Linked DNA regions of Neurospora crassa OR74A. The protein of the gene in region 1 purifies or fractionates together with the protein of each later gene. This does not show direct contact. Links are inferred from orthologs where the notes say so. Each region holds a gene or a part of one and is shown in the gene's direction. Other genes may lie near its edges. The genes, in order: NCU00621 and NCU05608.

Evidence for each region.
Region 2: the proteins of NCU00621 (region 1) and NCU05608 purify together in Schizosaccharomyces pombe (affinity purification with western blotting; 5 studies listed by BioGRID, with this or other methods). This does not show direct contact. The link is inferred for Neurospora crassa OR74A from reciprocal best matches to the Schizosaccharomyces pombe genes mip1 and tor2.

Annotation. Positions count from the first base shown.
Region 1 is NC_026501.1:7,805,692-7,810,022, forward strand, and holds the start of NCU00621 (TORC1 growth control complex subunit Kog1), read left to right. Parts: upstream 1-1,388; 5' UTR 1,389-2,106; coding exon 2,107-2,694; intron 2,695-2,752; coding exon 2,753-4,331. UniProt on the Schizosaccharomyces pombe protein: Component of TORC1, which regulates multiple cellular processes to control cell growth in response to environmental signals. Tor2 is essential for growth. Nutrient limitation and environmental stress signals cause inactivation of TORC1.
Region 2 is NC_026506.1:1,344,585-1,348,295, reverse strand, and holds part of NCU05608 (phosphatidylinositol 3-kinase tor2), read left to right. Parts: intron 1-37; coding exon 38-927; intron 928-1,128; coding exon 1,129-2,367; intron 2,368-2,425; coding exon 2,426-3,711.

The DNA of each region.
Region 1 (4,331 bases):
ATCAAGCTTAGGGGCCGGAAGAGTTGATGCCGATGCGGAGAACACATCGACATGCCACTGAACCCGGTACGTACGGATGCAGAGGATGTGTATCTCCAAGAAGGTGACTTCCCGTGTCCGTATCGATGTGAATGGGTTGGTCGGATGTCGTGACAGAATGCAGAAACTCGTTTGGACTTGTTCGGAGCAGGTGTCCTCGGGGTGGCCGGCTCCCGTTCCGGACGTTTTCACGTGAAGTTCCCGCTCCGCGGCAAAGGGCCGAAGCGCACAGACCCCTTGCTCAGCGATCCCCAATGGCCGGGGCTCCACCCCCGATATTTTTTGAAATTGGAGTTCATGCAAAAGCACGATCAATGCAACTCGAACCTTTTTTTCCCACAGCCAACAAATCCAAGGTAGATTATGTTGAATATTCAGGTGTGAATGCCACTGCAGCCCATCCCATCGTGTTAAACCATCCTAGGATACGGAACGAAGTAGTCAATATCAAGACACAAGCAGGTGAGCAGGAACAACAGGAAGGCTTCGGCATCTGCCGGCGACATCATGCACGACTATCGATATCTAGCAAATACCATGGAAGCGTGGCTTGCGGTCGAGTGAGCTTCGCCGATTTTGTGTTGAGAGGGCTCATAGGACAACTGATGCATATGGCTCGATGGTTGAAAACGTGCCAATAGAGAGGAGATTTCCATGTTCGCAAAGCTTGACAAACTGATGATAATCCGTCCTGCACAGTCAGTATATGTAGAAGTGATTGGCTAACGACGGGAATCGGATCCAGACCGAGGCGACGCATGGATTTGTGAGATCCTCGAAGCAGGCCTCGAGTCAAGTCAACGAACCGTTTCTTAACTCGGGCAATATCGATAATGAATGAAAAGTCCCACGGAGAATGGCAACGTTGCGGCGCAAGGAATGCAGCTTAGCGTACTTGTACCAACGAGGGGGGTGAGGCTGAAAGCATGGACCACCATGTGCACTGACTGCATCATCATGTGCGTTCAGTGCCTCCTTCTGTGGTGACACCGTGATGGTTCGGGCGGTACAATACCTCCGCTGGGCTTATTTGTATGCGGGAGATGCCAAGAAGGCCTTCAGCCTGCCTACCTACCTAGTACACTACCTCTAGTACCTAGGTACAGACGTACCGTACAGGTCACCCTTCACTGTTTTCACTCTACCTTGAGGTTGAATACTTGAGGTACGACTAGTAGTGTAGTGTAGCATCCGAGAAACGGGCACTCCCCGCAGTCCTCCCCTCTGGACAGGAAGCCTTGGCACCCAGAAACCCCCAAGTAGCGTATGGCTGATGGGCAGCGCATCCACATCCACACGTCTGTGCTCCACGGCCCGCATCAACCCACCACCACCACCCGCACCCACCACGACAACACACAGGCAAGGAAGCGGTTCCCTCTGCCGACATCATCACGGCCGGCATTGCCAGTTCAAAGCAGTAGGAGTTGCGTGTAGTTTCGTATTGCCCAAGTCTCACCAACTGCTATTGCGATATCCTCGGTATACCAAGTAGTGGAAACACAGGCAATTTGCTGGCAGTGACAATTGGTAGGCTCTGGTTACACAAGCGGAAGCGCATTTCACCCACTGCAGTGGGAATCTACGTCTATAACCCGCACGCAGCTGCCTCTGATAAAAGTCTAGCTAGATTGACTGACCCAATCCCATCTCTCAAACCTACAGCGCAAAGACCGGCATCATCCAACGAAAGTCACGACGGCACTACTACTGCCACCAAACTACTACCACCAGGCTACCTTGGTCAGATACGCATCATCTTCGTTACAGCCGACGGTCAATCGCACGCTTGCCCCACGCGCATCCGAACCTCTGCGTTTCCCTAGCCTTCAGATCGGTCCCCTCCTCTGCAGGAAATACAGCTCTGGTTGTGCCGCCTGATATAGCGCATCTACCTGGGCCGCCGACATCACCTCCAAGTCACCGTACGCTCGCTGTTTTACAGACTTCAGTTGTTACACCGCTGCTCTGTTCTCGACTCATCGCCTACCCGGCCTCGTCGCGGCCTTGAAAACCCGACTCTACCCTCCGAGGACCATGACCTTCGCTCTCGTCTAGTCGCGTACCATGACTGCTGTTTCTCTTCACGCCTCCCACCCCGGCTCCGCAGAATTTGGCCAGAGACAGCCCTCTGCTCCCACTCCCACCTCTGGCCGTTACGCGAGGCCCGGCTTTCCGTCATCAACTGCTACATCACCATCCCGCCACACAATGAACAACCCAGCTCGTCAAAGTTCAGTCACAATGTCACAAGTCCATCCTCAGAGGCCAGAAGACGGCAACCAGCGCGTCGCGACAAACGGGACCTCTCATCCTGCTGCCCATAACCAGCTGCCACTTCGATCCAACATACAGAGACGCATGTCCGATTCCTCACCAGCGCCCTTGTTTCGACGCCCCTCCAGCGCCCCCGACGACAATAACCAAACATCTCCTGGAACCACGTTGCATGGCGGGCAATCTGATGACGACGACCATATGCCTGTCGCCCGGCCGGCCAAGGCGCCATTAACGCGGTCTAAGAGCGAATACGGACTGCGGTTGGAGAGGGAAAGCCCCATCGAACAAGTTGACGAAGAGTACCATGATTGGGGTGCCAGGCATGGGTTCGAGGACCATTATCAGTCTGAAGAAGTCATTTCTCAGCTTGCAAATGTACGTTGATTTGTGTCTCTGCCGTTGGCTGGGGTGTCACTAACCGTGCGCTGAGCAGAGCTGGTACATGTACTTTACCGATAAGCGACATGAGACAACAGGGAAGCCAAAGACACCCGCTTTCGAGATCCAAGACTGGCGTATGCGCGATCGCCTAAAAACAGTTTCTGCTGCGATAGCAGTATGCTTGAACATAGGAGTGGAACCGCCAGATCAACTTCGCACCACCCCGGGTGCCCGGCTTGAAGCTTGGCAAGATCCGACGGTGCCTCCTGTTTCCAAGGCACTGGAGAATATTGGGAAAGCTTTGCAATCTCAATATGAGACCCTTGCTATTCGGACGCGCTACAAGCAGTATTTAGACCCGTCCATCGAAGAAACCAAGCGGTTCAGTGTCTCCCTCCGAAGAAGTGCCAAGGACGAGCGTGTGCTCTTCCATTACAATGGGCATGGAGTGCCCAAGCCAACAGCCTCGGGAGAGATCTGGGTTTTCAACAAGAACTACACGCAGTATATCCCCGTCTCTCTCTACGACCTTCAGCAATGGTTGCAGGCGCCCACGATATATGTGTGGGATTGCTCCGAGGCTGGCAATATCCTCACCAATTACCACCGTTTTGTTGAGAAGCACGAGCAAGAAGAAGAGGAGGCGGCACAACGGGACCCAAACCACGAAAAGATTAACTTCCGTCCCTACATCCATCTGGCAGCCTGCAACGTCAAGGAGAATCTGCCAACCAACCCCGACCTGCCTGCTGATCTCTTCACTTGCTGCTTGACTACCCCTATAGAGATGGCACTCTGGTTCTTCTGTCTGCAAAATCCGCTAAAAACCAAAATATCTCCTGAGCGAGCCAAGAAGCTGCCAGGGCGGCTTCAGGAGCGCCGGACGCCTCTCGGAGAGCTCAACTGGATTTTCACTGCCATCACAGATACCATTGCATGGACCACGCTACCACGCCATCTCTTCCGCAAATTTTTTAGGCAAGATTTGATGGTTGCCGCTCTTTTCCGAAACTTTCTCCTCGCACAGCGTATCATGCCTGTGTACAACTGCCATCCCCAGTCGTATCCAGAGTTGCCAGATACACGTCAGCATCCCCTTTGGGAGAGCTGGGACTTGGCCGTCGATCTGGCTCTTGCCCAGTTGCCGGCCCTCGAGAGAAAGGAGAGTGAAGGGATAGAGTATGAGTACATCAACTCGTCATTCTTCGCGGAGCAGCTCACAGCATTCGAGATCTACTTGACTCGAGGGGATGCTTTGTCCCAGAAGCCACCTGACCAGCTTCCAGTGGTTCTGCAAGTGTTGCTAAGTCAGCAGCATCGAGTACGAGCTCTGGTCCTACTAGCAAGGTTCTTGGACCTTGGCCCTTGGGCAGTACAACTGGCGCTCAGCATTGGCATCTTCCCGTACGTCTTGAAGCTCCTCCAGTCGGCGGCACAAGACCTAAAGCCAGTCATGGTGTTCATCTGGACTCGCGTTCTTGCGGTCGATATCTCATGCCAGCAAGACCTCATCAAAGATAGCGGGTACAATTACTTCGCGGCCATAATGAAGCCGCAAGATACCCTCTCCATGGTTAGCGTCGGGTTCTTGGATGAGCACAAGGCGATGTGTGCTTTCATCTTGGCTATGC
Region 2 (3,711 bases), on another chromosome or scaffold:
GATACCCCATTGGAGCGAGAACTGACCGTAGCTGCAGGACATGTCTTGAACGAGTTCGTCCGCGACGTTGCGATCAAATACGTTGAAGATGACGATCCGGAAATCCGTGAGGCAGCTGCTCTCACCTGCTGTCAGCTTTACGTGCGCGACCCCATTGTCAACCAGACAAGTTACCATGCCCTCCAGGTGGTCGCAGATGTTATTGAGAAGCTCTTGACAGTCGGAGTTTCGGATCCGGATCCCGGCATCAGACGCACTGTTCTGGCCGCCCTCGACGAGCGCTTCGATCAGCACCTAGCCAAAGCTGAGAATATCCGGACCTTGTTTTTCGCCCTCCACGACGAACAATTCGCCATCAGAGAAGTTGCGGTTTCGATCATCGGACGTCTGGCTCGTTACAACCCGGCCTACGTCATTCCACAGTTGCGTAAGACCATTATTCAGATGCTAACGGAACTGGAATACACGGATGTGGCCAGGAGTAAAGAGGAGAGTTCCAAGTTGCTCAGTCTGCTTACGCAGCATGCCCAGGACTTGGTCAAGCCCTACGTGAACTCCATAACCGAGGTTCTCTTACCAAAAGCGCGTGATCCCACGCCTTCTGTGGCTGCAACTGTCCTTCAGGCGATTGGCGAGTTGTGCACGGTCGGCGGTGAATCGATGCTTGCTTACAAGGATACGTTGATGCCCATTATCATTGATGCCCTACAAGATCAGAGTGCTCCTATCAAGCGGGAAGCTGCTCTCCACACACTCGGTCAACTTGCTAGCAACGCTGGCTATGTCATCAAACCCTATCTCGAATATCCCCAACTTCTGGAGATTCTCCAGTCAATCATCCGCGGAGAGCCCCAACACGGCACATTGCGACAGGAGACCATCAAACTTATGGGCATCCTAGGCGCTCTGGACCCTTACAAACATCAGGTATAGGATACCCTGAGGTCAATTCCAGACGAAATCAAGCACCTTCGGCATTTGACCGATCACCTATATGAAATGCTCCAGGCTAGTCCTGCAAAGGACAGTATGGCCAGCCAAGTGGCCAATGTCGCGAGTGCGAGGAGCGGAAACCCCTCAAACAAGACCCCCGATTCCCTCAAAACCGCGTTGACTAACTTGATGCAGGTCGAAGAAAGGACTGATGACAACAAGCGGAACAATGAAGCCGCCCAACTGACTGATGTCTCTCTGATGATGGGTGGCCTAACACCATCTAATGAAGACTACTATCCGACCGTGGTGATCAACGCACTGCTTCAGATCCTGAAGGATCAGTCTTTAGTCCAGTGGCACGGAAACGTTGTCGATGCCATCATGAGCATTTTCATCACTCTGGGACTGAAGTGTGTACAGTTCCTTGATCGTGTGGTCCCCGCCTTCATATCAGTCATCCGTGCGTCGAGCAACGCCCGGCTTGAGTTCTACTTCAATCACTTGAGCAGGCTGGTCAGTATCGTTCGCCAACACATCCGAGTTTATCTCAAGGACATCATCGATGTTCTTCAGGAGTACTGGCACACAACTCTCGCGCTTCAGAGCACTATCCTGGGGCTGATAGAGTCAATCTCGCGGTCTCTTGAGGGCGAGTTCAAGATTTACCTCGCCAAGTTACTCCCACTTATGCTAGGCGTGCTCGAGAAGGATGTTAGCACGAAGCGGCAACCTAGCGAGAAAGTGTTCCACGCGTTCCTGGTATTTGGCTCAAGCGCCGAAGAGTACATGCATTTGATAATCCCAGTTATTGTACGCCTCTTCGACAGTCACAGCCAGCCATTGTTCCTTCGGAAATCGGCTATCGAGACGATCGGCAAGCTTTCGAGCATGGTGAACTTGAACGACTACGCGTCAAAGATCATCCATCCTCTGACTCGTGTGTTGGCTAGTGGCGAGCCGAGTCTTCGGGTAGCGGCTTTGGACACACTTTGCGCCCTTATGCTGCAACTAGGACGCGACTACTTGCATTTCGAGCACACAGTCGACAAGGCGATCTCCATGTATGCCATCCAGCACTCGAATTACGAAAAGGCCATCGAGAAGCTAAAGAAGGGCGAGGCCCTCCCACAAAATCTCGCTCCTCGGTTTGAAGACATCTCCATGGAGGGCTTTGCTGCCGAAAACAACCCGCCCAAGAAGTTGACCCTGAATCCGGTGCATCTCAAGCAAGTGTGGGAAACAAAGGGCAAGTCCACCAAGGACGATTGGCATGAGTGGTTCAGGAAGTTTAGCACAACTCTTCTTACCGAGTCGCCGAACCATTCCTTGCGTGCTTGTGCCAGCTTGGCCAGCAACTACCAGCCTCTTGCGCGTGAGCTCTTCAACTCGGCCTTCGTGTCCTGCTGGAGCGAGCTTTATGAACAGTTCCAGGTATGTCAGCGCGGTATTTAGAATGATCCGAGCCGGATACTAACAGCTTGTTTAACAGGAGGACTTGATCACCAACATTGAGAATACGATCAAATCGGAGAACGTGCCACCGGATCTCCTTGGCCAGCTCCTCAACCTTGCCGAGTTCATGGAGCACGATGATAAGGCGCTGCCTATTGACATAAGAGTATTGGGACGTGAGGCCGCACGTTGCCACGCATACGCAAAGGCTCTTCACTATAAAGAGCTCGAGTTTTTGCAGGACCATAATAGTGGTGCAGTGGAGGCTTTGATTGTCATCAACAACCAGCTTCAGCAATCCGATGCTGCCATCGGTATTCTTCGTAAAGTCAAGACCTACAGGGAGGGTATCCAGTTGCGCGAGAGTTGGTTCGAGAAGCTCGAGCGTTGGGACGAGGCCCTCAACTTCTACTGCCAACGTGAGCGCGAAATTCCCGAAGACCAGCCTGTTCCCGTCGACATTGTGATGGGCAAGATGCGTTGTTATCACGCTCTTGGCGAGTGGGATTCTCTGGCTACGCTTGCTGGAAAGACCTGGGCCAATTCGGCCCCTGAAATTCAGAGACGCATTGCTCCATTGGCCACAACCGCTGCCTGGGGTCTCGGCAAATGGGACTCGATGGACAGCTACCTTCAGTCAATGAAGCGCTTCTCCCCAGATAGAGCTTTCTTCGGTGCGATTCTGGCCCTTCACCGCAATCAGTTCAGGGAGGCTATGGCATGCATCGAGCAAGCTCGCGAAGGACTGGATACCGAGCTTAGTGCGCTTGTTAGCGAGTCTTACAACCGGGCTTATCAGGTTGTAGTACGCGTCCAGATGCTCGCGGAGCTGGAAGAGCTCATTGTCTACAAGCAATGCGACGGAGAGAAGCAGGCTACCATGCGCAGAACCTGGGAGACTCGTCTCAAGGGCTGCCAGCGCAATGTCGAGGTATGGCAACGCATGCTGCGTTTGAGATCGCTTGTCATGACTCCGCAGGAGAACATGCATATGTGGACCAAGTTTGCCAACCTTTGTCGCAAGTCGGGCCGCATGGGACTCGCCGAAAAGTCACTCAAGCAGCTTATTGGAACCGACTCGCCATTGGACTCTGTCATTCCCTACTGGCACGATCGCCATCCGGGCTCGGTCGGCAACAGAATCGCGTCTCCGATCTTGTATGCGGTTCTGAAGTTCCAGTGGGAGATTGGACAGTCACCAGGATTCCGCAATTCGGAGCACAGGGTTGCCGAGAAGACGCTGTACTGCCTGCAGAGGTTCACGCAGGAGACTGCGCACCGCGTTGAAACCTCGCGTATGCACATGGCTGCCCATGCACAGAA